Rhinolophus ferrumequinum: one gene and its partners. The protein of the gene in region 2 purifies or fractionates together with the protein of the main gene of each other region. This does not show direct contact. Links are inferred from orthologs where the notes say so. Each region holds a gene or a part of one and is shown on either strand. Other genes may lie near its edges. The genes, in order: ATP5F1C, VDAC1, BSG and ATP1A1.

Region 1 (8,468 bases), on a different chromosome or scaffold from region 2:
TTTTAAGAAATTACCACGTATTGTGTTGTGATGTAATACCAAAGCGGAATATTCAAAATTATCTGAAAAGACTACTAAAATACTCTGTCCCCCCCTTCCAACTACAACTCTATGTAAAGGCTTGGCTTTCTTTACGTGCTTCAACCAAAACATTCTAAAATAGAATGAATGCAAGAAGCAGATGTGAAAATCAATTAAGTCAGACATTGCAGAGATTTGCAGAAATATAAAATAATGCTACTTTTATCACTGTTTTTTTGTTTTGATTTAGAAAACATAGCTATTTTTCATTAAAATGTTATTTATTTTAACACGTAATATGTTTGCTATTATTTTTAATGAATTAATATTTTTCAAAAATTTCTCAGTTTTAATCTACAAGTATCAATAGACATAACCCACATAAATAAAAGCTCTTGGGAATCTTCAATAATTTTTAAGACTGTAAAATTTGGTCCTAAGACCAAAAGGTCTAGACTTTTGGAAAGAGATGGATAGAAGCAAGATTAATTATTAATAGTAATAATAATAATTAACAGCTAATATTGTGTATGGCGCATTCTTCTAAACACTTTAACAGTATTAATTCCTTTCATCTTCATATAAACCATATGAAGGGACTATAATACTTAAAAGAGTGTACTATTTTTAGTCCCATTTTACAGATAAGGAAAGTTAAGCACAGAAAAACAATGGAGAGGCTCGGATTTGAAGGATTTAAAATCAGGCTAAAAGACAGTTTCCTTTGTCTAAAGTGAAGAAAAAGAAAGGCTGAATTGCGAGAAACTTTATTTTCTTAACAATTTCATACTATGATAAATTGGCAAAGGAAGACAAAAACTGAGCACAGAGATAATATAGCTATCATGTTAATATGTAAGGAATAAACAGAGCCACCGACATATAAAGTATTAAGCATCTATTAAATGTCCAACTGAATAAAGCTTATGAGATAAAGATGTCTTTGAGTTACTTACTCTGAAAAATAATCCATAAACTGCTGAGGATTTTCTGAAGCCAGCAATAGTTGTCTCTGATGAGATTCAGACATACAATGACACTTAAAGCCATTCTACAAAAACATAAAGGCAGTAGTTAAATTCTGACTTAGGTCATCGTAATGGGCCCTGAGTAGAAGTATGTAATTAAACCCTAAAAAGCTGCTCTTTGATGATAAATTGTAAAAAATAATCAAATCATTAGCTGTAAGCACCCTATCATTAAATTTTTTTTTTTTTTTTTACGAAGTTGAATTTAGCAACCTTGCTAATCAAAGACTAATCCCCAGGATTAAAGAGACAGAAAAACAGTACTTTAGAAACATTACTGGGCAAAGTAGCAGAAGAGTGAATTTGTTTTTTTTTGTTGTTGTTTTTGACTAAATTTAACCAATTCCTATTGAGTACCTACTTCATACAGAGAGTTATGGAAGCATTTCGAGGGATATAGTGAAATAAAATAGGTCATTAGTGAATTTCCACTAAGGAAACCATTTTTCACTCACTCTTCCTTTCCTTTATCTCATTATCCAAAATACATCAATTTTTTTATTGTTATAGTTTCAACATAATGAGTAGACATTTACACCCCTCACAGAGTGATAGCCCCCCGAAGTCTACTACCTCAAAATACGTTATTACATATTACAGAACCTCATGTTAAACATACTAAATCTGTATCGTCTTCAGATGATTGTTAAAAACATGTAAGTTTTGACTTTGTATCTGTTCTACTTACCACTTGAACCTGATTCTTCACTAGTAATAGAAATGAAAAACGTGCCTCTCCTGACCCCGCATCTCAATGAACAGCACTATTCTACACCCAGTCACCACGCCAGGACGAGGATTGTTTCCCAGTGTCTTCTCCTTCATCCCACTTTCCATTCGTCATTAGGTCTACTCAGCCTTCTCCGTAACCTCTTCTTCGTCCCATTGCCATTGTCCTGATTTCACACTGAATCTTGCTTAGGGTACTTTCCTAATCTTCAGTCATCCACAGACCTCCTACAAAATTCTTGCTCATCTTTGCATCTCTCTTACTTAAATATATCTTAAAAGAAAACTTAGTATCAGTCTCATAAATGAAACACCAGTCCCATTTTCCCCAAATTAAAAATAAGTCAAAGTGAAAACAAAATAATGTTATTAAATCCTGGAAATCCAAGGAAGGAAGGGAATACTCTAGATCTGACCTTTCTCCCCCTCTATCTTCCAATATCGAGACAGAAGACAGAGGAGGGAATTTATAGGGGTCAACTTCTCCTCCCCCAGGCTGGACTCCCTGGTAGTGAAGGGCAATGAACAGATCTGGGGGCAAAGAGGCCAGGACCACCGCAAATGCCTTAAGGAGAAAGATTAAGCATTTCTTTTCCCTTTCCCATAGGAATTGTATTGCAGGATAACATGTGAGAATAACCCAAAACTAGCTGATGAGAAGCTCATTTTTACAAATAATTGACAGCCAATAAGAAATGCACAAAGAATTAGAAAAATAACCACTTTGCAGCTCCTAATGAAATAACTGACTCAGGCAAAGTTGCTAAAACACATGTAGGTAGGTTGATGGGAAAATAGATATATGGCCATGATTCCAAAGAATCACTCCACTAGTTACTCGCTCTTGCAAGAGAGAAAATACTACTTCCTAACATTACAGGCTGTCATCTTTACTCAGTCACCTTAGCACTCCTGGACATATGGGCTCCCCTACGTGATGCGATATGAAATACACTGGATCATCTATGAAGCAGTCTTTCTCAAAGTGTTTAACCTGAACCTAATCAAGCCTTTAGGTCTAAGTTCCAGTTTACAGAAACTACAAGAGTTAGGGAAGGAAGGCAAAAGACAATCACAAGGAAACAATTCAACATATCCAGAAAGTGGGAATGCTCCCGGATGACTGACTGAGTTAGTCTCTTAAGTCAATTCAAGAAACAAATTGGCGGGGAGTGAGTGCTATTCTAAATTCAGAATTGAGAGAGGATTAAAAGTCCTAATGACCTGGAGCACAGAGATTTTTAGGGCAGTGAAACTACTCTGTATTATACTATAAAAGTAGATACATGTCATTATATATTTGTCCAAACCCATTGAATGTACAGCACCAAGAGCGACCCTAATGTAAACTATGGACTTTGGTGATAATGATGTGTCAGTGTAACTTCACTGATTGCAACAAATGTACCGGGGGAAGCTGTACATGTATGAAGGAAGGCAGGGTGTGTGTATATACATACACACACACACACACACACACACACACACGAAATCTCTGTATCTTCCACTCATTTTTGCACTGAATCTAAAACGGCTCAAAACAATAAAGTCTATTTTTTTAAAGCCTTAATAACCAAATCCAATTCATAGTTTTTGATTGGATCTTAGCTTAAGCATTTGAAAAGCATTTGGGGGAACAAGTGAGGAAACATGAGTATGGAACATGTATCAGACAACATGAAAGAATTTTAATTTTGTTATGCGTTGATGACATATATTGTGACTGTAAAAAAAAATCCTGATATTTTAGAAATGGATATTTAAATATTTAGAGGTGAAATATCCTTCTGTTTATAATTTAAACTATTTTTTAAAAAAGTAAATATGGCAAAATACTTAAAATGTTAAATCTGGGTAATAGACATATGGATGTTCATTGTACTGGTCTTCATTTTCTGTGTGAGAATTTCACCTTGACTTAAATGGAAAGAACTAAAGAGAAATGAAAGAGAATAACCATATCAATGCTATTCAATATGAGTCCCACCTAAAACATCTCATCCCTCACTTGCAGAAACAGTAGATGAGATTATTCCAATTCCCCAGTGTTCTTCCGTCCTTACCAACTAGACCTCCAGAGGAAAATACGATGACATCACTAGTCTGCTCTTCATCACCCACCTCATTAGTGGGGAAAAGTGTAAACTCCACAGCAAGGCATACAAGGCTTTTCAAGATCTGCCCAAAGACCCCGACTCACATTACACATAATTCATTTAAAACTCACAACAATCTTACAAGTAGGTACAGTTATTGTTCCCACTTTACAGATAAGTAAACAGGCAGAGAGAATGTAACGTGCCCAAGACCACACAGCCAGTAAGTGGTGCGGCTGGGCTTTATAATTCTGACAGTCTGACTCGCGTCCACACCTTAATAATAATATCCTGGCACATACTAAGGGCTGAAAATATGATTGTTAGATGAGCAGTGTACAAGAGCTTATTTCTCCTTTTTCATCTGATCCCGAAAAGAGCTGTGAATCCTAAGTATCCTGTTTCTCCTAAGAGGCACGTCAAGTCAGAGGTGATTGTTATTTCTATTGCCCAGGCGTCCCGGCATTTAACTATTCAGGCCTCCGTTTTATGAAAGCTTGAGTAGGATCACTTCTACAAGAACCGCAAAACCTTTTCTTTTTCGTATTTCTTTTCTTTTGGGGGCAGATTGGGGAAGACAGAGGCGTCAAAGAGCACTGGTTCCCCACCAGGACGGGAGCTGCAGGAAGGAATGTCCCTACTGAGTGGAGTAGCTGACTTGCCCAGTGTAGACCCCACGACTAGGGACCTGAGACCCAGGCCTTCACCTCCAGCGTCAGGGACTCGAGCCAGGATTTCCAGCCGGACCCCGCCAGGGGAGAGGACGAGGCACGGGCATGAGCCATCCCGGGCCGCCTTACCTCGTCCCGGCACTGCTTCTGGCACATCTGGCAATACCAGCGCAGCTTCTGAAGCCCTTTGGATTTGATTCTGTTGGCGATGGCTTTCGGGGTAAGAAAATCTGACTTCCCCATCGCGACCACTGCAGCGATTACTTTTTGGAACCGAGTGCCCTGCCAACCGGAAGCGGAACGGGGCTGACAGGGGTGGGCGGGACAAACAGCCGCTGCGAGCCGGAAGGAGGTGGAGCCTCGGAAGGCTGAGCCCCCAAAGCTCGCGAGGTTTCCCTCAGCCTGGCGGCTAACAGCGAGACTGAAGAAGAAAGCGGGTTGGGAGGGGCGGTGGGGAGTCTCCTGCGCGTGCGCGCTGAGGCCTGTCTGACCGACCTTCAGCTTGGGCCAGTACCACCATGTTTTCTCGGGCGGGCGTCGTGGGGGTCTCGGCCTGGGCCGTGCAGCCGCAATGGTATGGCAGCTTGCGGTAGGAACGGGAGGGTCGCGAGGGATGGAAGAGTTCGGTGAGGGAGAAAAGGAAGCGGGTGGAAGCGAGTCGGACGGAACAGGGGTTGCAGGGCCTGCTCGGCCCCCAGTCCCACGGAGGCCCCGGGAAGCTCGGGCTGCAGGAAGCGCCTCCGATCCGGGAAGGGTGCGCGAAGGGACTGGAGCGACCTCTCGGTCACGCCACGTCTCCTGAGGCGTGGTGGGGCGGGGTGAAGGCCACGAGGAGTGGTCCTCTGGGACCTCGGTATTGAGACCTTAGTCCGAATTAATTTCAGGGCGGTCCTGGATTCATTCAGCTAATAAGTACTTGCGGAGCTCCCGCTGTGTGACTGGCAGCGAGTATCATGCTATCTTTACCCGGAGCCACACAGTCGGGGGGGGGGAGGCCCTAAGGCAAGGTCTAGGGGAAGGTTAAGTTGTACTCTGTGTCCTTGACACCCACTGAAACCCTGCAGTGCTGGGCAGAGTTTGCATGGGCCAGTGCAGAGCGGAGTAACTCTTCAAGAGCGGTTCGATTCGGCCAGAACGTTTATTAAGCACCGACCATGTCGCAGACGCTTTGCTAGGCACTGGTGAATCAAATAAGTGCCCTCGTGGGCTGATGGTAGTTGAGGTGCAAACGGGACCTTACACATCTGTCAGTTGGCGAGGAAGGGAAAGACACCAAGCACTATCTTGAAACCATTACGCTGAAGCAGTAACCCTGCAAGGTCATAAAATTGTCCCAAGGTCCTGAAGGGGAAGAGGAGATAGAGCTAAGTGCCGTCTGTCGACTGCCGTGCACGTTTTAAGGATTTTAAACATTGGTTCCCGAAAAAAGTTGCATGTTAGAAGGCCTAGGAATAGCTAGATTAAACTTGGTTTGTGGTCGTACCGTATAATAGGATGAAATACCTTGAAGCTAGACAAGAATCCAGGAGAATTTCAGACACTGTTAAGGGGTTTATTAGCTGTAGTCTGTCGCAATTCCCCGTTTTTACAGTAGAGAAGAATTCTAAGATGCTACAAAAACGATTTTTGTATCCAAATTTATGTGAAGGGACTATAAGTCATTAATTGAAATAGGTGTGGTTTTCGTTAAGCGAAGAATTTATAACAGACAAGATTTTCAGGGTAATAAAGTAATTGTGATATGAAATAGCTACATAAAAATGTTGGTGGATTTGCCTTGGAAGTCAGATTTCTTTTTTGCCTACTATTGAAAAAAAGTATTCGTGGGAATTAAGAACTCACCGTAAGTGGACTTCTGTCATGCAGATTGTGCCACTATTAATCACTCGGCAGACACTTGACAGTTGGTAGGTGCCTGCGCTGCACCAGGTTGGCAGTGCGGCGAGTGCTGAAATGTGGTGAACAGACATAAGCGGTCTTGCTTCGTGGAGCGGTTCATGGATGCAGTGAGGCTCAGCAGTCAGCTCTCCTTTCCTTCCCGTCTTGCTGTGCATTCATGTTAATGGTCATTATTTTTAGAACCATAAAGTGGTATCTAAGTTGATCTTTAAATGCAGAGTTCCTGAAACGAGGACAAGTATTTTACATAATACTGTGGAAATAACTTCTTTTAAAATCCTACAAGACAATTTGAAGATCTTTTATTAAGAGCTGTTTTAACTATGAGTTCACTCTCAATCTGTGACAACTACTGCCAGGACCTTAAATGGAACCTCAATCAGCAAATAAAGGTCATGCTTCTGATCTTCATCCCTTTGGAATGTGTTTTTAAATTGGTAGGTTATGAATATTCATCAGCCATCAGTGTTCCTCAATGGAAAGCATATTCTGTCCCCTTTTCACATTTTCCGTCACTCTGGGTGCCTGACGTCTTACTGCCTCTGGTGCCCCTTTGCTTCCCATTCATTATAATTGACTTTTAAATTCAGAAATGAAAACCATATTAATGATTCACACTCCACAGAATTAATTAGAAAAGAAAGAAAAATGCCTTTGCTTTAATAGAACCAAGTGGCATTTTCTTGGTTCTCTTGGTTATTGAAAGCTTTGAAATGTACAATTTGTCATTGTTAGGTTTTGTTTTAGGGGGGTTAGCATGCTAGTTTTAAGTAAACATGAGTCATACTTAGAAAGTACCCCAAATTTTTATATATTAAACCTGTACTTTTAAAAAATAGCATAGAAGAAAATGGAAATAAGAAATCTGGAGGGAAAAGTTTCTGTTCTTCTGTCTCAAATTAGGGGACAGTACATTTCTATTCCCTAGTGTTCTACATTCTTTAAAATGGAACTATTTTATAATAGAGCAGTGGCCATAAATTGAAATATGTACATTGAAAAGGAAGGGAGATGGCATTTCAGGAGAGAAAAGGCAGATTGTCACCTGAGGCTGAGAAAGCAGATGTACAAAACGGGAGGCAGCAGGGTATGTATGGTACAAGAGGTGGGCTGGAGCCAAACTGCTGGGCTTTGAATCCTGACTGCCACTCACCTGGCAGTGTGACCTTAGACAGGTTACTCAGTGTCTGTCTCTAATATTACTTACCTATTAAATGGAGGTAATAATACTACTACACAATTAATAGGTGAATGTGAGGGCTAAAGGAGTCAGTATTTGTAAAGAACTGAGGGCAGTGGAAGATATGCTGCTGTGGACCCAGACGTATCAATTGAAAAATGAGACCGAGTTTATAACTACAGTTTCTACTGTATAAAATAGAATGTAAGAAGGTTTATTGTACTTGCCAAAGAAGACTCAGTCACGGGCTGAGTCTTGGTGAAGAAGTGCAAGGGAGTTGTTTTCTAGTGGAGGGACAGGTGATGGACTTGCACGCAGGCATTCTGTGTTATAATTACACATCATAATTTTGTTTTCCTTAACAATTGGTGGCTGCTGCTACTTCCTTAATTTTTATATTATACTGCATTTATATGCTCCTTGAAATTCTCTCAGGCATCTGTAATGTCTTTGATAAATCATTCATCTAGCAACCTCGCTGACTCCTTCCACCACTGCCTTCTTCAGCTTTTCTAACAATGCTGTATGAATACAGGAGAGACTGGTAATCCACAATCTGTGATTTTTCCCACCCACTGTATTTCATATGTTTCTGGTTTCTCAAATAATCTCCTGAATGTTCCTTGAGACATGATGTAATTTTCTAGAACATAAAACTGATTCAGAACTTTATCTTTTCATTTGCAAAAATTGTATATTCATTAGATAAAACAAGCTATGGTTTTTCTGTACTCAAATTGTACTTAAAAAATAAAGTTGTAACATAGATTGACCTCTTTAGAACTAAATGAAGGCTGAGCATCAGAGCACTTCAAAACAGGAAATTAGGGCATGTGCACAGCAT
Region 2 (7,655 bases):
CTTCTGATAGAAACCCAGTGCCACTGCCCTTGCAACAAATTGGGGTGACTCCCCTGACCGCTATCCCCTGACAGCTGGCCTACACCCTGCTATGGACCTGGCTAACTCTGATCAGTGTGAACAAATAGCGCTTCCCCTCTGAACAGCAAATTCTACTTTTCAAAAAGCACTCCCATCTACTAGCTCCTCGCAATGGCCCCCTGGAGTGACAACTGCAGTTTGAAAGCACCAGCACTGGAACTAGCCAGACCAGACCCTGAACCCCAGCTCCACTGCTGCTGAGCTGTGTGACCTTGGATGCTTACCTCACCTCTCTGTGCTCAAGCCTTCTGAACCATGAAATGGAAGCAACAGTCACTCTCTCCCAGGGCTCGTACGATGATGGATTCAATGTCACAGAACATATGTCAAGCCCCCAGGAGGGTGCTGAGCGTGCATTCAATAAACAGTGACTGTGATGATGATGACACTTTCATACTGGAGAAACTGAGGCACAGGACAGTGACTAGATCTGTACTAGACCCTACGGCTGTGTTGCAAGCTCCATCTGCTCTCCAGGACTCTTTCCAGTACAGTCTGGGTAAAGCGCTTAGATTCCCACTCACCCTCACCCTCCTGAGAGCAAGCAGGAAATGGGAGCATTGTGCCCAGGCCCAGCTGAGGACCCCACTGCTCACCTTTCTTCAGGGGCTACCAGACGAGTCACAGGCCCTGTGAGCCCTGAGGGGCTGCTTGCAGGCTTGCTGGCCCTCAGCCACACACATACCTCTCAGTCTCTACCATCAAAGCTATCACACTGTGAGAGCAACGCCATCCAGGGCACCGTGGACTTCAGCACCTAGGGGGCATCTGACCAGGGAAGGTGGGGGTGAATGTGCCTTGTCAACACCAACTACGCAGTGGTCGTCCACATCCGCCTAGAGTCCCGCCGGACCAGAAGCTCACGGGCCCCGTGAGCCCATGTCTGTGTCTATCAAGAGCCCTGCCTATCGCTTTAGAAGAGCAGAAATAAAACTAATCAACTGAGAGCAGCCCCTGGCCCCAGGGTCAAGCACTTCATTCAGGTCAACTCCAGCAGAAGCCCGTGGCCCATTCACCGTACGAGGGACGAGTTGACAGCCCAAGGCCTTTAGGAGCATCCCAGCCACCCGTGTCACCCGCCCTGCAAACCCAGAAACACTAGTTCAACAAGTTTCCCACAGGACTTGGAAAGTCACAGAATGAAGGTAACGCCTTTGAAGGAGTTATTTCAAATGAGGGAAGTTTCGCCTCTCACTGCTCTAGGGCTGTATAAACCCTGGCAACCTGACTATGTGTGACTCTCTGCTAGGCAAGGCTACTTCCTGGAAGTGAGTGAGATGCATGTGTCCCTCCAAAAGGATGTCCAGGATCAAGGCGCTATGGTCTGGTCCTGCAGTCGCTCCACACGCCCATTCAATAACTCCACAAATCCTTAATGAGCAACTACTATAAGCCACATGTTGGAACAGCAAAAGCTATGTTGTCCATAAGCTTGAGTCAACTCCTAGATAAAAAGCAAAGTGCATGTACCCCACAGACCCTTCTTAAGTACCTACTGTGTGCCAGGTAGCACCACAGGCACCAAAAACAAAGCCACATAGGGCTTATGCCTGAGGGTGTAGAAACTCAGTCTACAGCTAAGGTGGACAGAAAGAAGGTAGGCCCTGGGCAGTCTACCTTGGCCTTGCCAACAGCATATTAGGCAAAGGAGCCCATTTCCCCATCTCCTCTGGAGAGGGTAGTCAAGAGGATAGGGGCCTCAGGTGGAACAGGCCTACCTCTGCACCCACATTCGACTTCCAGTTCCACCTGGATCCTGTCTGTAAACTTCAGGGATTTTTCATGAATTATCATGAAAGTTACTCAATGCCTAGCACACAAATGCTTAATATTACCTAATATGTAAAATATCAGGGGCAGTGTTTTTTGAATCTTTTCCAGAACACCACGTGGAGCAAACCAGTCTCCCCAAAAAGGCTTGTCAAGGCTTCTACCGAGGCTTTCTCCTTGCCAGGCACTGTTCTGAAGGCTTCTTGTCCATCAACTCATTTTATTCCCAAAAACCCAACGAAGGAGAGGTATAATTGCTCCCAACCTATAGATGGGAAAACTGAGGTGTGGTATCCTCCCAGCTGTGTGACCTTGGACAAGTCACTTGGGCTGCGGGCCTCAAATCGAAAGCGGTGAACCAGTTTCGAGAATGCACCGCCTCATTTGGGTAATGAATGAGCGCCGGAACCAGGAACCCCTGCTTAGGCCGAGAGACCGGCCACATCGCTCCGCGGGGCCTCCTTTTCCTAGGCCTAACCTTCTGCCCAGGGCCCAGCCCCAGACCCCGCGGCCTAAGTCAATTCTCCGCCTCCCGTTCCGCCCCGAAGGCGCTGGCACGCGCGGACAGTGTCCGGCGCCAGCTTCTCCGGGCGTAGGCCGGACAGGGCGTGAGGGACTGGGGGCGCCGGGCCATGGTCGCCACGGTCGCCCCGCGGCAACAGCGCGACCTGCATACGTCCGTGGGCCCGGCCCCGCGAGCTTGGGTAACAAACAGGTCCCTGCCCGACCCGCGCTTGGCGGCATCGAGGGCCAGAGGGCGCCGCCGGGAAAGGTCACCTAGACCTGCAGCCGGCCGGGCCTCCACGCGGCGGCCCGTGTCCCTCCGCCCTAAGTCCCCGCGGGCTCTGGCCCCAAGCCGCAGGCACCTCCGGATGCCCGGCCTCTCGCTCCCCAACCCCGGCCCGCTCGCCACCCGCCCGCGCGGCCTGCTCTGCAGCCACTGACCCGCCAGGCCCGCGGGCCGCTCCCGCTCCCTCCCCGGCCCTCGCCGGTCCGTCCCCCATCTCCTCCCCGACTCCCCAGGGACGAGGCGCACAGCCCGGGGCGCAGGCAGAGCCAGGGCCCTTCGGCTGCGCCTACCTCGGAGGCGGTGGCGATGGGCTCGGCGGCGGCCGCGGAGGGGGCTGCAGCGCTGGGAACTGGGAGAGCAGCGGGGCCGAGGGCGGAGCGGCGCGGACGGCGGCGGCGCGGACCCGCCCCGACCCTGCGCGTCCCGCCCGGCGAGCTCCGCCCCGGGGCCCGCCCCGGACACCACCCAGGCCCACGCCGGGTCCCGGTCCGGGTCCTGAGCCCCGCACGCACCTTTCTGCGCCCCTCAGTGCCCGCTGCGGACGCCAGAGCCCACGGGCGTGCGCGGGCTTGCGTGAGGGCCCGCGTGCGCCCGGGCCCGGGGCGGCGGGGCTGACGTGCGCGCGGTGTGTGCGTGCGCAGGAACACGCGTGCCGGCCGCCGGCGCCCGCCAGTCTCTGCTGGAAATCCCGCCGGGTTGACGCATCCGGGATGGGGGGGCGGGGGGCTGTTCCGGTTAACGGAGCGTCGGCCAGGGATCCTCTGAGCTAACGCAGACACGCGGGGTCCTGGACCTCGTGCTCGGCCTTGCGTTTGGGAGACAACCCCTCTCCCCCAGGAGCTGATGTGGCTGGCGGGTGGCGCTGGACCCGGACCCAGCCTGGGTGGACGAGGTGACCGCGGGTACCCCAGAGCAAAGCCAGCGCGGGGCTTTAAATCGGGCTCCCAGGCCCCGATTGGGGATCAGGCGCCCGGGCAGCGCAGATACAGAGTAGCGGCCACGACTGTTACTTCTTCGCTCCCGACACATTGTTTCCGGCGCCGCGGACCCTTCTCTACGCCGGGCCCGGCTCGTAGAGCCCTGCGGTGCCAGGGGGCAGCGCCCAGAAAACCCCTGTGCGCCAAGTTTGCAGTCCAAATTAGCAGTTTTCCCCGGTAGCGAAGCTGCTAGCAGTCATTTTCGGAGCGTTTGAGAAGTGAAAAAAGCAAATTGCGTTTTGCAAGAACATCTGCTGGGTCTCATGGTGCTCGGGAGGTACCACAGGTTACAACCAGCCCATGGCCTCTTGGGGAACCCGGAACCGCGTCCACCCGGGCCCTGCCTCCTCGCTGAGCTCGGATAAAGCGCCTAGAGTCACCCCGCTAGGCCTACGCGGGTGGTCTCCATCACCACTGAGTGTCAACGGCATCCCACGCGAGGGCCATCCCAAGCCGACTTCCCCAAGCCGCCTTCAAGAATTAAGGAATTCGTGGCGTGAAGATTCTGCACAGCCTTCGCCTTCAGCCAATTTTCTTCAAGTCTTGAGGCGTCTAGGGCCCCGTACTCCGGACTACAGAGAGAACACTCGCTCACAACCAGCTGTGGCACAAGTTAAAGGAGTAGGCACGCTTCTGGGGCGTCCCAAGAAGCAATCAGACCGGCTGCTGGAAAGAGTCGGCAAACTTAAATGAGCAAGTGGCAACTGGTGTTCCAATGGAGGCAGCTGTTGAAGAAGGGAGCTTAAGAGGGGGAAGGGGTGCTGACAGGGGGCCCTGGGCTCTGTAGGGGGCTCAGGTCTGATTGAACATGTGAGGAGTTGCCCCTGAACCCCTCGAGGCCCTGGAGAGTAGAGGACCTATGCTAGAACTCTCCCCAGGACCATAAGGTTCTCCATGGCTGACTGGGAACTCAGGGCTTCCCAACCTGGCTGTCCCCACCCCACACACAAAGGCCCCAGCCCACTTTTGGACAGGGTCAGGCAGGGAAAGTCACAAAGTCACCCACAAGTGCAATGAGGCAGTTTGGGAGGACAGGCCTCGGGAAGTAGGGCAGGACCAGGTGGTTCTGTCGAGAGAGGGGATTCTGGAAATCTCACATGATCTAGGAGCAGGTGCCACACCTTGGGTCAGGGAAGCCCAAATGTGCTGCTTAGACCAAATGTCCAAGCTGCTCCCTCCCCTCTACCAGCACCTCCCTGCCAATCCCCCTTCCAGGACCCGCAACCTGAGGAGAGTTCCCCATGCCCCACCTGCTCTGGGTCCCTTCTGGGACTCCCCTACCTGCCGCTTTCAGATTAATCACCTGAGCACCCTTTGGGTCACTTACTGGCTGTGTGACCCTGCACTGTGGGCCTAACCTCTCAGCTTCAACTTCAGGGGGTTGTTGTGAGTTTAAAATGGATTATGTAACAAGTAAGCACTCAGAAAACGGTGAAGAAATCAACTGGGACATAGAAGCCCTCAGACCCTAGTGTTGACCTCTCACCACTGTAGTCCTGAGGGAAGAGCTGAGCCAAGGCAATTTGTCATACCAGGCTTACCGACCCCAGCCCCACCTCCACTCTGGCTGCCACTGCTGATTGGGCCAGGGATGGACACCTGACCTGAGACCAGCCAATCAGGTCCTCTCTCGTAAATTTGAAGTAAGAAACCCAGGTAAGGTGTAACAGTTTTTCTTTGGAGGAATGACCTTTCTCCTCTCAGTACACAATCCTCATGCAGCTGACTCCAGGGCCATTCTTGAGGTAGCCCTGTGACTCACCCTGGCCAATCAATACACTGTACTCCCCTGGCCACAGGGATGGACCAGTGAGACCCAGTCAGACTTCCTGGGGCTATTGAGGTAAATACTTTAAAAATGAACTCGGCCCACAAAAGAGAGACACCAGGTCCTGGGGACAACATGTCCTGGACCTAGCCAGGCCTCACACCACCCTCTGTGCTATCTGGGCTGACAAATTCCTTTTTACTTAGTCCTGTTTGGATTAGGTTTTCTTCCAGGTCCTACCTAATTCAGTTCCACTCCTCCCTTCAACATCCAGAGAAGATGAGATTTTTCTTTTTAATGCTGGAATGGTTGACTGGTGTAAGAATATTTCATTCTAGGGAAATTCTTATATCTAGCTTACAGGCATAACGTTTCTACTATATAGGTATATAGATATTTACAAAGAACCTATGTTGAAACACTTTCCACACTTCTTTTCAGGGCCAGATGTACCTCAATAAGATTTCTTAATACCGTCTTTGCCAAGTAATCAGAACAGAAAGATAAGGTCTATGAAAGTAGAAATGGAAGATGTAATATATATAATTTTTAAAGAGAAAAATATTCTGCTTGTAACCAGCATGAATGAATTAGAATATAAAACTGAATTGTCATAAAACCTAACCTTTCTAACCATATTCCAGACTATAGTCTAGGTAGGAGCTAGGCTTGAGGATGTGTGGTCAAGAATCTCAGGGTGTACTCTCCACATTGTGCCCTGACACTCATCTTCCAGGGAAGGACCTAGCCTGGCCTCCAGGTTCTGACTGACATGGAGAGCAGTAGTCAGCTGGGAAAACAGGATGAAAACCATCCCAAGATGAGCATAATAAAAATATTTCTCTTGCGTACCCCAAAATATGAGGTGTCCTAGATCTAAAATAGTTCCAAGGAGTTCTAATATCATATCCATGTTTTTACAGAGAGAGAGAGAGAAAAGTGGAAAGAAATGCATTAAGTGTTAGAGAAAATTGTGTTTCAATTTAGGAGACTATGATTTTTTTCCTTTGGCCCTTTCTATATTTCCCATTCTATTAATGATACAATACCTTTACTATAAAAAGAGAGAAATTTTTAAGAAAGCCAAACGAGGTTGATCAGGAGAGGCTGTGTAAACTGACACAATCCTGGAAAGCACTTAGGTGACATGTAATAAGAATCAAAACCTAAAACCTACTCCCTCTGACTGTTTCTGGGAACCTATGCTATGGCAATAATCCCAGCCTAGCTTCAGGCAGATGTATAGCAGCCCAGAATGGAACATAGCCTGGTTTCCAGCTTCAGCAAACTGAAGCACATCCCCTCTATAGATTCAGAGCCTTGAGGAAAGAAGGTTACAAAGACTTCCTGTGGGGAAATATTTCTGTTACAATGCTAACTGAGGGCAACCATATATTTAGTATTAATGCAACCACAACATTAAAAATGAGAGAGACAAACCATGGTAGACAGAATAATGACTTCCCATAGATACCCATGTCCTAATCACCCAAACTTATAAATATGTTACTTTGCATGTCAAAAGGAACTTAATAAATGTGATTATATGAAGGATCTTTTTTTTTTTTTTTAAGATTTTATTGAGGAAGGGGAACAGGACTTTATTGGGGAACAGTGTGTACTTCCAGGACTTTTTCCAAGTCAAGTTGCCGTCCCCTCAATCTTAGTTGTGGAGGGTGCCGTTCAGCTTCAAGTTGTTGTCCTTTCAGTCTTAGTTGTGGAGGGCGCAGCTCAGCTCCAGTTCCACTTGCCGTTGTTAGTTGCAGGGGGAGCAGCCCACCATCCCTTGCGGGAGTCGAAGAGTCAAACCGGCAACCCTGTGGTTGAGAGGATGCACTCCAACCCACTGAGTCATCCGGGAGCTCAGCGGCAGCTCAGCTCAAGGTGCTGTGTTCAATCTTAGTTGCAGGGGGCTCTGCCCACCATCCCTTGCGGGAGTCGAGGAGTTGAACTGGCAACCTTGTGGTTGAGAACCCCCTGGCCCATGTGGGAATCGAACCAGCAGCCTTCCGCGTTAGGAGCACAGAGCTCCAACCACCTGAGCCACGGGACTGGCCCCCTGTGTAAAGGATCTTGAAATGGAGAAATTAACCTGGATTGTCCAGGTGGGCCCAGTGTAATCACAAGGGTCCTTCCTATAAGAAGAAGACCGGGGGGTGAAAGTGAGAGGCCATACAACAAACAGAAATTGGAGAAAAAGGGAGAGATCGGAAGATAATATGCTGCTGGCTTTGATGATGGACAAAGAGGCCATGAGTCACGTGATACA
Region 3 (8,057 bases), on a different chromosome or scaffold from region 2:
ACAGGACACGTGCACAGCCAGGAGGGGGCCCCTTCCTGGGCAGGCCAGTTCTCACTGCCCCACTGCCAGCCACCTGCTGGCTCTTACTTTAAAAGAGGACATGACGTGTCAGAACTCCAGGCAAGCAGGGGATGAAGCAGAATGCTAGACCAAGGCCAGACAGGAAAGGCAAGGAGGCGCTGGGGCTGGGGCGCACCCTGCTCCAGAGCATGCCCACGCGCACACCACAGCATGTGTGCGTGTGGGCAGAAGGGGCACACAGACGTGTACCCACAGAGCGCACATGGACACACACACACTCATGGCCCTGGCTATGACCCTGGGGCCTCAGACTGTCTGCTTTGGGGTGAGGTGGCCCCGAGACCCTGGGACAGGTGGACCTTCATGTCCCCTCACCTGGGATGACCCAAAAGCAATTCCCAGGACTCAGGACAGGAACAGTTACAACCAGACGAAGGTGTGAAGCTGGAAGCTGGAAACTTCTGTGGCAGTGCCATTATCACAAAAGAATCACCTCCCGGTAATCCACACTTCTCAGGAGTCAAAACTTCCCAAGATTGCAAAACACCAGCTATGTGCAGAGCTGGAAGCAATGAGTCAGGGCTGGAAGCGAGGCCCAGGCAGGCCTCCTGCTAGACAGGCCTGCTCTCTACCCTAGAGCCTCAGCCCCTGCAGTGCTCTAATCTCCTCACCCAGGGCCGCTAGAAAGCTGGGTCAGATCTTGTCCCAGCTGCATCTGCCTCGGGTGTGGCAACAGAGGTGGCCTGACAGCCAGCCTAAAGCCCCTCGGGCCCACACCTCTGCCCTGGCCTGAAGGCCACACACTGCAGGGGACCAAGCCAGGCCACACTTGGGCCACATGACAGTGGTCACCCGAAGGAGCCCGTGAGCTAACCACCATGTGGCCACCTCTCTTATGTACCCTCAACAGGGCCCCGTCACTCCCAAGGGTGCGTGTAAGTGTGTGTGTGGAGGGGTATCTTAGGCATTAGTGGTTGTGACCCTACTCGGGGTCACGCACAGAGACATCTGTGGTAGAAGTGATGCTAACATCTGTGATAGTAAAACAATACTGGGACAGGACCATTAGGAAAAAGGTCTCAAGGGGCTTTCTGGGAGGACGTCCATGCTTGAGAAAGTTTGAAAAGCACATCTTCTGGCAACCCCTGGCCAAACCCAGGGCCTAGGAGATGGTGGGGAGCAACCCCAATCCACAGGGAGTGGAAAGTGAAAATTGCATTCCAGCCCTGTGACTGTAACCCACGCTCTCAAGTAAAGTCACCTTCATCTAAAAACAGCCACCCCTGCTCAGTGCCCACTAGGCAGCCAGGCTGGGGAGCAGGGCCAGGCAGGCCTCGTGGTGAACTGCCCAGGAGCTATCAGGATGAGGCTGCAGGTCCCCACCCTCCTCCCACCCACAGCAGCACTGCAGGCCCCAGATAGGAGCCAAGAGCATTTCTGGGGACCAGCCGTGGGCTCCCCACCTCACCACCCTCCTCTCCATCCCACCAGGAGGCAGTTCAGAGAGGCCAAGTCATCAGCCCTTGGAACCCAGATGGCAAGCCCATGCCCTCCCAACGTGCTGGCCGGAATGACAGGACCCCGGGCAATCCTAGGGATAGCCAGGGTCTCCCAGCAGAGCACCCAGAGCATTCCTGGGGTGCTGAGCTGGCCTGAATATGCAAACACTGTCACTAAGTCACTCCTCCCAGGGAGAAAAGGAACATGTGGTGACATCCTCTGAAAGACTTTCAGATATTTTCAAGAGTTCCTGGGAAAGGGGGAGCTGTCAAAAGTAAAAAAGGAAAACAAAACAGACAGGAGTCCCAGGGGGTCAGAGGGCATAGTGAACCCCATGCAGGGAGCATGCAAGAAAAGCCCCCAACCTGCACCCACACAGAGCCTCCTGGCTTCCTGGCTGGGGCTCTGAGGCGAGGAGCACACTGGGGGGCTGTGCGCCACAGCAGAGGAAACCACGGTCCCTTAACCCCCTTGGCTGTCTCCAGCCACCGAGGCCCCAGCTGCTTATCTTCCGAATTCACTTCGACTACGGGTCCTACGTAAGTCTTTCCAGAGAGCGCTGGTGGGCAGACAGGTAGCCCAGAGGCATTCGATAAATGGCCGTTTTGATTATAAGAAGAGGAAGAGGCGAACTGAGATCTTAAAGTAGGTCAGGAGTAAGCCGGTGAAACTTCTACAAGAGGCAGCCCCTCCAGGGCTCAGTGCCACAAAACTTTCACGTCTGCACTTTGCTCCCTACATGCCGGTCACTAAATTGGTAACCCAGAACCAGAAAGAAAGTCTCCACAGGGGAAGAAAACGTCTGTCAGGCTTTCTCCTGGAAAACTGCACCTTAACCCATTTTCCCCCCGAGCCTTCTCCAAACCACATCTGCCCACCCCTAAAACCCTGCCCACTCCTCCTAACAGCTCTGAAAACTGAATGCTGTTTGAGAGTCTGTATACACAACCTTTTCCACTTCCTGCTCTGAACTGGGTGGCCAGGGCGACCTCACGGTGACCTTGGAACATCCCCCTCCCATCCGGAGCCTCAGTTTCCACCCCTGTAAAAGGAGGCTGGTGGATTAAACCAGTTTTATCTGTGCCCAGAAATCAGACAAAACCTAAGGCAATAGAGCATGTCGGCCTCCCTACAAGGGTTTAAAAGTTTGGGTGAACACCAGGAGCAGATGCACACCCAGGAGAGTCGGGACCTAAATCCCAGCAAGAATGACAATCCCTGCCAGTTCGACGGCCGCCAGCTTCAGGGACGCTCAAGTGCATTTGCTTCCAGCGTCCACTTGAGGACAACAGCCCGCTTTCCAGATAAGAGCTAAGCGCCCCAGGGAGTCCGGAGGGCCCTTCTCGCCCCTTGCCCCGCACACCCAGGCCGGGGAACCTCACCCTCAAGTTGCTTCCTCAGGTCCCTGGGCCCCCGATCCCAAGACCCAGCCGCTTCGTCCCTTCCCCAGCGGGGGAAGGGTGGGGGGCCGCTTCCAGATCCCCTCCCCAGGTGCCCTCACCAGGGGTCACAACAGCTCCCAGACCCCGCCCTCCCCCAGGCCGCCAAAAATCTGGGACTTCAGTATCGTCCTGGTCGGATCCCCGAGACCCCAAGCCGGGGCTTCCCAACATACCACCTCGGCGGGGAGTCCTCGGAGCGCCCCAAACCCCGGGCACTGTCTCCGCCGGAGCTCACGGGTTCCCCTAGGAGGACGGGGCTTCACCTCCACCCCCGCCCGGCTGGACCCCCGAGGGCGAACCCACGGCCCCCGCCCGACCAGTTCTCACCCGCCCCGGTGCCTCTGTCAGCGCTCAGCAGCGCGAGCCCCAATACTACAAGCAGCGTTGTCGCCATGTCGCCGCCTTGCCCGACGCCAACCACCGCCCCCGGCGCTGTAATAATCCAAGGGGCTGGCTGGGCGCGCGCACGCAGGGCGGTGTCGCAAGGGCGGGGCGCGCTGGCCGCCGCCTGCGCACGCGTGTAGACGCACGTACGCACGCGCTGGCCCTGGCAGGCTTGCTCTACGGAAGCCTGGAAGGCGGCGCATGTGACTCCGGCGCGCCACGCCCTGCGGCCTAGGGGCGTGGCTACGTTGCTAAGAAATGCGAGCGAGGCTTTCATTCTTTTAGAAAGTGTTGAGAACTGAACTGTGCACTCAAAAGTGGCAAAAATGCTCAATTTTTATTATGTGTATTTTACCACAACAAAAAAACATTAAGGGATCCTTGTGAACAGGTGGGATATGTTCCCTGGGGGGACAGGGGCTGCCAGGTTTAGCAAATAAAAAGACCTGGACCACGGTTAAATTTGAATTTTACACAGGGAACGAGTGATTTACTAGCGTAACTATCCCGTGCAACGTGTAGACATAGAGATGCAAGAAAAATACTCGTTATTTATCTGATTGTTGCTATTTATCTGAAATTCAAGCATAACTGGCAGTCCTGTGTTTTGTCTGGAAAACCTACCCTGAGGTCCCCATGTTTTACCGTTTTTCCCCGAAAATAAGACCTACCTGGAAAATAAGCCCTAGCATGATTTTTTCAGGATGCTCATATTATAAGCCCTACCCCAAAAATAAGCCCCAGTTAAGATTGTCAGCCAGACGGACACATTTAGTATGTCTGTTGCAACACACGACTGACGTATTGAATTATAAAATAATATTTATATATAATTAAATATAAATAATATTATTGGCATTAATACTTAAATAAATGATAATATAAATTATAATTAAGTATTTGTAAATACCCAAGCGGGCGCCTTCGGATAAGAGGTAAACGCCTATGTAAACACATGAACTCGAAACTTATTGCCGAATGACCAATCAGAGTATAAACACAACTCACGAATAACGTGTGCACTTGATAACGAGCAGACGTGGTTGTGTCTAATATGAATCTTCATAATTCAATACGTTGCGTATTGTAATGGACGTACTTAATGCACTCTTGTGAAATAAAGAAACCTTTTCTGAATTTTGGTGCCTGCAATTTTTCACCGCTTTTGTGTGGACCATCATTCTTAACTATCATCATTTTTGTTGTCACTCCTGTCTCGTAGTCTTCAATTAACTCTTGATTTAATGGTACGTTTAAAGGGAATAATATTTTGACCCCCAGACAAGATGAGAAAGAGCTATTCTGTCGAGTATAAGAAAGGACTCGTGGATTACTCCTGGGGCAAGAATCTTCCGGCTTTCTGCAAAGAGAAGAAGTTGGATCTCCGAATGGTCCGAAAATGGCGAGCAGAGTACAATAACCTCAGTCAACAGGTGGACGAGGGAAATGCTAAGAAGCGCAAGTGTGGATCAAGTCAGCAACCATTATTTCCTGAGCTGGAAGAGATCATCTGTGAATGGATTGCTGACAGGAGAGCAAAGGCTTTGGTTGTGCACAGGGCTGATATTCCAGCATTTGCCCTTGCAATGGCACCACAGTTAGAAATATCCCCAGAAGAATTCAAAGCATCACAACACTGGCTGGATGGCTTCCTTCAGCGATATGAACTGTCTCTAAGATCGACAGCAGTGTTCAAGCTGGAAGATACTGAAGTTATTAAATGTGCACTTGCATTCAAGTCCTTTATTGATGGCATCGACTTTTCTAAATACCAGCTCTCCAAATGTGATGGCTATGAATGAAACTGCAGTATTTATGGGCCAAGGATCTCAAGTGACAATTGATCAGAGGGGTGCCTCGTCAATCTACATTCCCTCCACTGGTTACAAAAGTGCACGTGTTATCTGTATTTTGGCAATTCATCTGGGTGGAAAGAAAGCCCCACCTCTAATCATCACTAAGGGCGAGAAAAAGTTGAACGTGTTTATGTTCTTAAAATAAAGAACGCCTGGTGCACACAAGCAATTATAAGGAAGTGGGTCGATTTAATGCTGCAATTTGTTTTGCCATTTGTGAGGTGGCCAAAGAGGTCTGCTAGTCTGGGATTCAGCCAGCACTCACCGCGCTAAAGACATGAAGAACTTCCTTGCAGAGAGAAGAATAGATCAAATAATGATTCCCGCAGGAATGACTGCCTATCTGCAGACTCTTGATATTGCAATAAGCAAGCAATTCAAGGACGATTTGTGCATGGAAATCAATGACTACATTGAAAATAGAATGGAGAGAAATCAGCGTGGAAACTTTGTGAAGCCTAGCCTGCAAGAAGCCGTGACTTGGGTGAAGAATTCATGGGATAAAATCACTGACAGCTGTGTTCCCAATGCACGATGAGCAGGCTACATGGACAAGAAGTGCTCATTTAAGGAGAGTTCTGTTGCTGGACATGAGAGATTGGGGCCAATGGTTCTACAGGAAATGGAGTCGCAAGAAATTCAAGCTGGAATTTGGAGTTTGGAGAGTTATGACGATGTTCCAGAAGAAGATGACATGACTGTATTCGAATAAATGCAGATTTTTGTACATGAATAAATGAATAAATATAGATTGTTGTACATGAATAAATGTAGATTGTTGTACATGAAAAAGTAAAACATCCCCTGAAAATAAGCCCTAATGTGTCTTTTGGAGCAAAAATTAATATAAGACCCGGTCTTATTTTTGGGTAAATACAGTATAACAAATGCTTTTTAAAATGATAAACTAATTTAAAACAAAAATAGAATAATGTAATCTTCGTGATTTTGGATTAGGCAATGATTTCTTATATATGACACCAAAAGCACACACAATGAAAGAAAAAAATAAATGAGACTTCCTCAAAATTAAAACCTTTTGTGCTTTAAAAAACAACAAGAGGCCGGCCCGGTGGCTCAGGCAGTTGGAGCTCTGTGCTCCTAACTCCGAAGGCTGCCGGTTCGATTCCTATAGGGGCCAGTGGGCTCTCAGCCACAAGGTTGCCAGTCAACTCCTGGAGTCCCGCAGGGGATGGTGGGCTCCTCCCCCTGCAACTAAGATTGAACAGACACCTTGAGCTGAGCTGCCGCTGAGCTCCCGGATGGCTCAGTTGGTTGGAGCGCAAGCTCTCAACCACAAGGTTGCCAGTTCGATTCCTTGAGTCCCGCAAGGGATGGTGGGCTGTGCCTCCTGCAACTAGCACCGGCAACTGGACGTGGAGCTGAGCTGCGCCCTCCACAAATAAGACTGAAAGGACAACAACTTGACTTGGAAAAAAGTCCTGGAAGTACACACTGTTCCCCAATAAAGTCCTGTTCCCCTTCCCCAATAAAAATCATTAAAAAAACCAAGAAAGTGGAAAGATAACCCACAGAATGGGAGAAAATATTGGTTAATCATGTATCTGATGAGGAACTTATATCTAGGATATATAAAGACACTTACAACAGTATTTAAAAAAAAGATAATAACCCAATCTGAATGCACTTTTCTCCAAAGAAGATATGCAAGTGGACAATAAGCACATGAAAAGGTGCTCAATGTCACCAGCTATCAGGGAAATGCAAATCAAAACCACAGTGAGACACCACTTCACAGTCACTAGGATGGCTGTAATAAAAGGCAGACAATAACAAGTGTTGGAGAAGGTGAAGAAACTAGAACCCTTGTGCACTGCTGGTGGGAATGTGAAATGGTGCAGTCAATATGGAAAACACACCAGCAGTAACACACAGAGTTATCATCTGGCCCAGCAATTCCACTCCTAGGTATATGCCCACGAGAACTGAAGACTCACAGCCACACAGAAACTTGTGTCAACCGAAGGTCGTCCTCAGCAACAATTCAGTACCACCAGGAATCCCTAATTTGGGGTACAGTGAAGGGGAACGTGATTCAGGCATCATAGCCCCAGCCAAGGAAACACAACATTAAATGGAAACTGAGGATGTGCTCTACAAAGATGGCAGGGAGGCAGACTTATAGAGAAGTTCCCACGCTGGTCCCTGATTGGTCCACTTCTATGCAAATTGGACTCCAAATTTTCACAGTTTGATTGGTCTGAATAGGACTGCCCTGATTGGTCAAAATGGAGCCACTCTGATTGGTGGGGAAAGATGCAAAGAGGATATTGCTGCACAGATCCGATTGGACGAGGCAGGTCTTTGGCCCATTGGTTGAATTTCTATCCTAGGAGCTCTGTTCCAAGGATTGACTCAGCCAGCAAGGATCACAGAGCAGGAACCTGGCAGCCCAGTCTGTGTGGATTTTCTCTAACATGAAGCTTGGGTGAGAGGCCCCTCTAAACAATTGTTGCTCCATTCTGGTTATGAATTACAGACAGGCAAGGCCACTGTTGACATAAGAAATGTCTAAGCCTGTAGAGAATTTGTCTTGCGGGAGACCCTGCTCACTGCGCCATTTGTCGTGCAGGGCGGCCTGTGGGGTCTCTGGTCCCGCTCCCCACATAAGAACGCAGGATATGGTGAGGCCAAAAAGGAACACCCACGGAGCCATAGGTAGGGGAGTCATACGACTATATTCTCTCTGGTAGCTGGGGGAGACACACGCAGTAGTAGCCACACTATCTGCAGTCCGCCATTCACTTCTCTGCCTGCCAACCAACCAACCAATCAACGCAGCCCCGCAGTTATATCAGTAGCCAATTGGCTAACCAGTTACAGCTGATGGCCA
Region 4 (7,685 bases), on a different chromosome or scaffold from region 2:
TAAATGCAGACCTCCCCCTTTCCTACCCTCCCACCCAAAGGTGAGTCACTGGCGTGTTACAAACTTACTGGCAGAGAACACTACAAACTAACAAAGAGTTAAGTTACCAAAAGAGGATACACCCTCAGGACAGGGTACAGCTAGAACCTCCCAGAGCCTCCCAGAGCCGGGAAGCTGTCACATGCACACCAACACTTAACAGGCAAAGGGCGTGATGCAAACCAACCCTCTTCTCTACCCCCAGTGCTGTCAGTCCCGAGTTCCTCTTGTAACCGGCGGCCAGGCCTGGGCACCTTTCCACATCGAGCACTCTGCCTTACAATGTTTTCCGTCTAAAGTACTAACTTTATAGCAGCCAGAGAAGATTTAGTCACACTTTCAAGTTGAGCTCCAAAAGGGCAGCTGATAATGTTACCATACAACCAGGATTTCTGCTGACATGTGTACCCCTCGTCCAGCCTTCACCTGAACCCTTTTCCCTGCTCCTCTTTAAACCAGTACCCACGAGCTAGGATTTATTTTCTAGGTAACTAAGTTAATATTCAAACAATGGAGAACTGCAGTGAAGGACCTGGTGACATCCCTGCCTCCCCCCCCCCCCAATCTTTTGTAACCGAGAAGAGAGCGTTTCTGTGTACCTTGGTTGAGCTAAATAGTTGTGAGTGGCAGGCCTAGCTAGGGATTTAAGCCAAGTCACTGGCAAAAACACCCAATATGAAAAAAAAAGGGGACAAAATCCTATTTCATCCAGGAATGATTCAGCTGTTCTTTCATTTTCCTACCGAAAGCTCAGGAACTGGAGTTTTAAGGAGAAATAAAATCACCTGAAATATCATCAAAATCTAGGCAATCCGAAAGTAGGAAGAGGGGAAGAAATTAACAATGACCTTAAAAATGAGCCGCCAGCACAGGTTTCCTGGCTAACCAATTATCAGCTGGGCTTTAGTCATCACTCCACCCACATTTTAATCCTCATGTGGAAAAATCCCAACATTTCAGCATAAAATATCCTTCTGGACATTTGGACTGTCACAGTAAGTCACTGGGGACAAAAAGGGTAACTTTATCCCAGGAGAATCACCACCGATACACACACACACATACACCCTTAACGTTCAAATTATCAGAGTATCCAAGACACTAATTACAACCCAGCATATAAGGGGCATATCATCCTGTGTTAACCAGCTATAATTCAATTTTGTGTTTGCTCGCCTCTAGACATTTTATTGGGATTCACGAAACACCTTGCTTGAACCTACCTCCCCAACAAGGTATGTTGCTGACTTGACCAATACTATGTATGTGTGTGGTTATGAAAGAGACACACAGAGAGACATAACTTACTCAAACATCTCTCTGGTCCATTAATTCATGATCAGAAACACCCCCGGTTCATCTGAAGAATGACTTGAGCGTTCTACATATAAGGCAACTGTTAAGCAGTGAGTGAGTGTTCAGGCTGCGGAGGCCACAGGCTGTTCAGGAATCAGGGACATCTGGTGTGTCATTAACCAACCATTTGACCTTGAGCAAGTCACTTCACCTTCCTAGGCCTCGGGGAGGGTATCTATGAGCTCTACACCCGCCCAAATCAGCACTGTCCAGCTCAAGAAACAAAACTCTTTTTTATTTGAGGGGGGGCAGAGATAAAGGAATGAGCTTTTAAAGAGCTTGTTTAGCGGCATGACCTAAGGTTTGACAGTGCGGTACAAACACGGGCCACTAACCCAGTTTCCATCGTGGGGAGTAACAGGCTGGCACTCAGCTCTTGGCCTTCAGCTTCTTGACCTGCGCCAGCCTTCCCACATTTTGTGCTTTGAAAAGATACAAGTTGTGCATTTCCCACTTATCCCTCTCGGGTCCTCCAAGCCTTGCAATTGTCTCCTTCAAAACCCATTTGGAAGTCAGGATGCACCCTCCCTTTTCCCCCAGCATTCACTGCACCGGGAAGAGCCCTGCAACATTCAAAGGCCTACTAAGTGCAGGCACAGCGCAAGCCCTAGAGCTAAGGGAGTGGATTCTCTCCTACCAGTATTCTCACGACCTAGTCATCTTATGCCATGAATTGATGCTTTTGGGGTTATTTTGTATAATTTTGTATATTTTGTATATATTTGTATACATTTGGTATATATTTGTATATTTTGTATATATTCCTCAACTAGATTCTTTGGCCCCGCTGGGGTCCCGATTATCACCGCTCCCAGTGACAGAAAGGTAGGAACCAGACGTGCTCTCCTTTCCTGTCTCGGATCCCCCTGGATACCTCGGGAACCGCTCTCCCGCGGCTCCACAGTCCTACCACCGCCGACTTGTCCTCTGCCTCCAGTCCTTTTTAGGGTTTATCGTACCCAGAAGCCCTCGTCGGCCAGCCTGTCCTCCTCCAAAAAAATCTACATACCCCTCCCCACTGCAGTTGCCCCGGGCGCATCCTGTGTTTGTGGAAAGTGTCCCAGTAAAGCTCTCGGAAGTATACCTTAAAGGCCATCTTAAGGCGGGTGAAGGCACACCCTTGCTGGCACCAGCCCGCACGACCGGCTCCACAGTCCGGGGAAGCCAGTTTTTTCCTTTGGGGGAGGGCGGCCGTCTCTGCGGGAAGCTGGCTAAGCCCCGGCGCCTCCAGGAGAAGGAGCCTCGTACCCCACGGCCGCCCCCGCGTCGGAAGCCCCTACCGGCGCCCCGGGCCGCGGCGGGAACCGCAGCCGGGAGGAGCCCGGCTGCGCGCCCCAGGGGAAGGGGAGGAGCGCGCCTGGCCTCCGGGCACGGAGGGCGGAGGGAAAGAGGAAGGCGAGAGATGGGAGGTGAGGGCGGGTGGAGGGAGGGAAGCGGGCTCGGGGATGCCGCCGGCGGCCGGCTGCTTCCTGGGGCGGCCCAGCGCCCGTTCGCCCTCCTCCCAGCCCTGCGGCTCAGAGCGCCGGCTCCGGGCGCCCCGGGCCACGGCGCGCTCGGAATGGGGGGGCCCGCAGCCCCTCTCCCGGGGCCGCCCGCCGTCTCCCCAGCGCTCCCTGCCCCCGCCCGCCGTCCCCCACTGCTGCGCTCCCTCCATTTCCCAAGTGCGTCGTCTTTTAAGCCTGGCCGCTGTGCCAGCCCCCGGCGCGGCGCTTCCTCCTCCGCCGCCTCTCGCCGGCTGCGGTCGCCCTCCTGACTTCCTCCCCGGCCTCCGGGGCTCCCCGCGCCCCCGGCCCCAGCTCTCCCGACACTCACCCCCTTCCCCATGGTGGCGGTGGTTAGTGCGCGGCGCGGGGTCCCGCCGCTTGAGAATCAGCGAGAAAAGCAGAGAGCAGCTCGCGGCCAGCGGAGCAACGAGAAGGGAGCTAGGGCTGCCGCGGGGCGGGAGGGAGGGAGGGAGGACGGCCGGCGGTCGGGCCGATGCCGCCGCTGCCGCCGCCGCCGCCGGGCTGCTACCGCTGCTGCTGCCACGTGTCCGCCTCCTCCCGCCGCTCCTCTGCGCCCCAGACCCCGCCGCAGCTCCAGCCCGCGCCTCCTCCTCACTTCCTAAAATATGCAACCTGCGTGCTGGCCCCGCCCACGCCCCTCACGTCACCGTTACCGGAGCAACCTGACACCCGCCGCCGGCCGGACCCCGCCCCCTCTGCAAACCCCACCCCCCAGACCCGGGCCGCGCCGGCTGCGGCTAGTCCCGACTCCCGGCAGGAGGGCGCCGGCCCCCCGGCGCGCGTGCCCACGTCTCGGGAGGCCGCGGCCGAGCCTCTGCGGGGCGCGGGCTGGCCGGGCAGCGCGGCCTCGGCGGCCATGGAGCTCCCGTGCTCCTCCCCCGCGCCGCCCTGCGTGACCGGCCTGCTTTGTAGGGCCCCGAAGGTCCGCAGTGGTTGCGGGGACGCTGTCGGAACTGGGCTCCCCGAATCTCCAGGGAACCGGGACAGAAACCTCTCGCGGAGGGGCCTTTCCACTGCATCAGGAAGCTCATCTGGGATGGAGGGACGCGCCGAGGTGGGGGTGGGGGTTCAGGTGTGACTGCAGCCCCCGCCCGCCTGAGGGACTCCGCTTCCCGGCGTTGTCCTGGCCCCGAGCCCACCAGCTTCTCGGTGCCCTCCCGAAGGCCTCCTTAGGTCTGGGATCCCCGTTATCCACTTCCCTCTCCGCCCCAGGAGGAATGGGTCTGGGCTGGCCTTGCCGGAGGCCCCAAGCGTCCTCCCCAAATGACAATGCAAAGGACGTCCAATGAATTCATTCAGGCAACTGTGTGAATGAAACCTGCTTGTCCAGTTTGGTGATTCGCTTTTTAGAGGAGGAACACCTGAAACCTTAAGGAATGCATATCGTTAGCGAAAGGGGCCGACTGGAGGGGAAGATGTTTGACGACATGGCTGGTGCCTCCCTATGCCGCCTACTGGCACAGCAGTGCTCTTCCAGTGCCGCCTTGGGTGCTCTGAGGGACCCTGGGCACGAGTGTGAGGATGAGCCCCGGACCTCCACGCCCACCCCCCACCCACCCCCATCCCCACCCCCAGAGAGCCCTGGCCTGGCTGCCTTATGGGACTTCCCTCGCATTATGGCTTCTGCTTCTTAGCAGAGGCTGCAGTGGCTGGAAGTCTCCATTTAGAAAGCAAGGTAGTAGTATTATTAACAATGCTTTCAGGAAGTCAGTATTCTCCGGAGAAAGTCATTCCACCTCTCTGTTAAATACTACAAGAAACAAGGAAAATATTAACTTCCTAAGCAAGTAAAAGCTGGCCCTATCAACTCCAAGTATTCATTTAACAGGAACAAATAGAGATGGGAAGCTTGAAAGAAATAGGGAGGAAAGGGAAGGAGGGAGGGAGGCAGGGAAGGAATGCTAAGGTTTCGGTAATTCTTAGTCTTTCTTAGAAGAAACTGTTTCTTCTCTTGCCCAAGAATGTGTTGCTAAGGGCTGGACCCTCCTCCCCTGATCCTGGATCCTCAGGCTTCGTTAAATCATTCCATGCCAGGAAGAGCAGAAATTGTAAGTGGAACTCAAATTTATGACTGCTGGGGAGAGAGAGCCCCAAATCCAGAGTCCCCAACACTGCTAATTCAACAGAAGGCATTTGCAGAACGTTATCAGGGCTCCATCTCCAAGGGTCTAGAAAACGCTTTCTTTACAGGCCCCGTGACTGCTGGCCTGTAGGAGACTTGTGCTTTTTACGAGATCTCTTAGCTTGTCTAAGATTCATCATCCCTTGGGCCCTGTTCTGAACGGAAAAAGTGCAGCAAGAACAACAACCAAATGGAGAAAGCAAAACTCTGAACGATGTGGATGTCTCCTGCCAACTGAGCTCCTTGTTCTCCATAAGTAAAATTATCCTTTTTCCTTCCACAGTATAACCCTGATAGATCAAGGCATTTTCCTTTGTCGCTAGAGCTGTTTGTTTGGCAGCTGAAGGTCCTTCCAGGAGGACCTCCAAATTCTAGCTGTATTCCAGAGAGGGGAAAAGTTAAAAAATTGTTAACTAAAATCTGTATGTTGCTTTGGCCTCCCCATAGCACTTTTTCATATAAAAATCCTGTTGGATTCTCATAAGTTTGGACGGTAAAGGGCTTTAGCTGCATTTTTCCAGAGTGGGAAATGGGAGGCTGGGGGACTTTCTTCTCACAAGACCACTGAGTTAGTGATTCGGGGAGTTTGTCCTCAAAATTACAAAATAACATCTTCCCACTTTGAAAGCTTGCTCTCAGAGCGCAGCACCAAGGAAGTTTGGGTGGGAGAACAGCCATTGTTCTCAATGTTGCAATCCTCACAAATACAGTGTTTCCACATGCCTCCCCTTTTGTATTACCAAGAAGACCTCAGCTAGAACCTTTTCTTCCTATTTCCGCTTTTCATCAGTTTATGGGGCGCATACGCCCCTCAGTCCCCGGTTTCTGGCCCACCTGATCCCCACCTCCAGAGGCAAATCCCATTCCATTTTCAAAATTCGTAATGCCATTTTCCATGTCAGTCCTATGGAAAGAAAGATATTCCACAGAAACTTTTTAGAATATCAGAAAGGGCCTGGCGATTGTTCCTCTAAAGTCAATGCTTTCTCTAAACGTGATCCCCCCATACCAAGTGCTGTGGTCTAGGCACTGGGCAGTCTTCAAGGGTGTTTTTAGGGGTAAAGATTATTGCCAGGACTTGAGGACTAATTTTAGGAGGTAAAGGGGGAAAATATGGTAAAGAAGCAGGCGTTGCCAACTTTTTATGGGAAAGAGTGTTGGGAAGAAACCCTACCCTGTTGTAATATGGAGCCCTGGACACACCTATGGAATTAAAGACACAAGGACAGCATGGCCAGGACCAAGGTTTCAGAAGCAGAAGTTTCAGATGCAGGAGAGGTACCTTGGAACATAGGCAACCAAGGGGGGAAATGTCCTTTTTTTGGGAAAGACTTCCTTTTTCCTCTTGGGAGGGGCTTCTGATTGGAACCTTAGCGATCAAACACGCCCCTCTTTTCACAATGAAGAAACTGAAGGCCAGAGAGTATGGGCGCTGGATAGTCCCAGGAGAATAGCAGAACCTTTGTGTATCTTTTCAAACTCCCAGAGAGGACGGTACTTCCAGAAGAGAGGGTGGGGTGAGTTCTGCCTCCCTATTCTATCTGCCTCCGTTCAGCTCTTTTTAAGCACCTAGCGTGGAAAACAATGAAAGGAATTGCCCTAGAGACTCAACATTTACAGACCCCAAGGCTGCCAAGTGTTGAGGAGGGTTTGACACCACCATGGAAGGTTGGCCCAGTCATTGTGAAAAGAATCAGCAGATGTATGAAAAATATGATGCAAGTCAGTATTTTGAGCCCAAGCGCCAGCACTTTAAGTATTTGCTGCATTGAACAAATACACCATTGCAATTAAGGGCTTAAAAATACAGGTTGCAGCCTACACCAAGTAAGCATTTTCCATAGGCAGCAAACGTTTGGGGGATCGATGAGCTAGGGATCTGGAAGGACAGATCTAGCATGGAAACAATCTGATGTTCGCATCTTTATCTTTTTCTATTTCCTCGGCACCCCAGAAAGCTACTTAGCTGCCACTCTCCCTGCGTTAAAGCCAACTCTTCTTACCACCCCAAAGTTCCTCCTCGCCAGTGTACATCCCACCACTGCAAATCTATTTCTTCTTGTCCAGCAGCAGACGTATTATCTCCTGTTTTAAAAGCGTAGTTCTAAACACTCCACTGACCATCAAAAATCTGTCAGCTAAATAATTCTGACCCTGTAACTTTTCCTCCAGACTCCATTTTCTACTCATCTCTTCATTCTCTTTTAAAGCTCTTTAATATTCTTCTAAGCAGACTTTTAGCTTTTTAAAAAATTGAATTTATTAGGGTTAGTAAAATTACATAGGTTTCAAGTGTACATTTCTATAACACATTATCTATATATCACAACTTCTTTTCTGTTAATGATTTTGAAGCCCTCAAGTTTTGCTTCCTGAAATCTGGAAAAGTCAGCCTTCACACGGTACCTGGCCTGGGGTCTGTTACCAACCTCACAGAGTCAAGTCCTCAGTCTTTTCCTCGGCTTCCCTTTAACACAACTGCCACTGAAATAATTGGCTCTTATTAATGGCAGACTTTGTAAATAAAACAGTGTTAAAGGACCCTTTACTTGGTTCTCATGTGTTTTACATCAGATCCTGAAATTAACAGCCAGGATTCCGTCTTCTCTCACTCTCCCTCATACCCTTCTTTGATGCCCCTAACGGCAGTTCAAAACACTATG

The links.
Region 1: the proteins of VDAC1 (region 2) and ATP5F1C fractionate together in Homo sapiens (co-fractionation; 3 studies listed by BioGRID, with this or other methods). This does not show direct contact. The link is inferred for Rhinolophus ferrumequinum from reciprocal best matches to the Homo sapiens genes VDAC1 and ATP5F1C.
Region 3: the proteins of VDAC1 (region 2) and BSG purify together in Homo sapiens (affinity purification with mass spectrometry; 3 studies listed by BioGRID, with this or other methods). This does not show direct contact. The link is inferred for Rhinolophus ferrumequinum from reciprocal best matches to the Homo sapiens genes VDAC1 and BSG.
Region 4: the proteins of VDAC1 (region 2) and ATP1A1 fractionate together in Homo sapiens (co-fractionation; 3 studies listed by BioGRID, with this or other methods). This does not show direct contact. The link is inferred for Rhinolophus ferrumequinum from reciprocal best matches to the Homo sapiens genes VDAC1 and ATP1A1.

Annotation. Positions count from the first base shown.
Region 1 is NW_022680355.1:13,362,031-13,370,498, forward strand, and holds the start of ATP5F1C (ATP synthase subunit gamma, mitochondrial), read left to right. Parts: upstream 1-4,977; 5' UTR 4,978-5,063; coding exon 5,064-5,119; intron 5,120-8,468. Other genes in the region: KIN (DNA/RNA-binding protein KIN17), read right to left, coding at 978-1,072, 4,675-4,788.
Region 2 is NC_046307.1:10,066,868-10,074,522, forward strand, and holds the start of VDAC1 (voltage-dependent anion-selective channel protein 1), read right to left. Parts: upstream 3,270-7,655; 5' UTR 3,154-3,269; intron 3,069-3,153; exon of another isoform or gene 2,932-3,068; intron 1-2,931. UniProt on the Homo sapiens protein: Non-selective voltage-gated ion channel that mediates the transport of anions and cations through the mitochondrion outer membrane and plasma membrane.
Region 3 is NC_046301.1:62,249,297-62,257,353, forward strand, and holds the start of BSG (basigin), read right to left. Parts: upstream 3,474-8,057; 5' UTR 3,358-3,473; coding exon 3,291-3,357; intron 1-3,290.
Region 4 is NC_046305.1:46,576,778-46,584,462, reverse strand, and holds the start of ATP1A1 (sodium/potassium-transporting ATPase subunit alpha-1), read right to left. Parts: upstream 3,488-7,685; 5' UTR 3,220-3,487; coding exon 3,208-3,219; intron 1-3,207. UniProt on the Homo sapiens protein: This is the catalytic component of the active enzyme, which catalyzes the hydrolysis of ATP coupled with the exchange of sodium and potassium ions across the plasma membrane.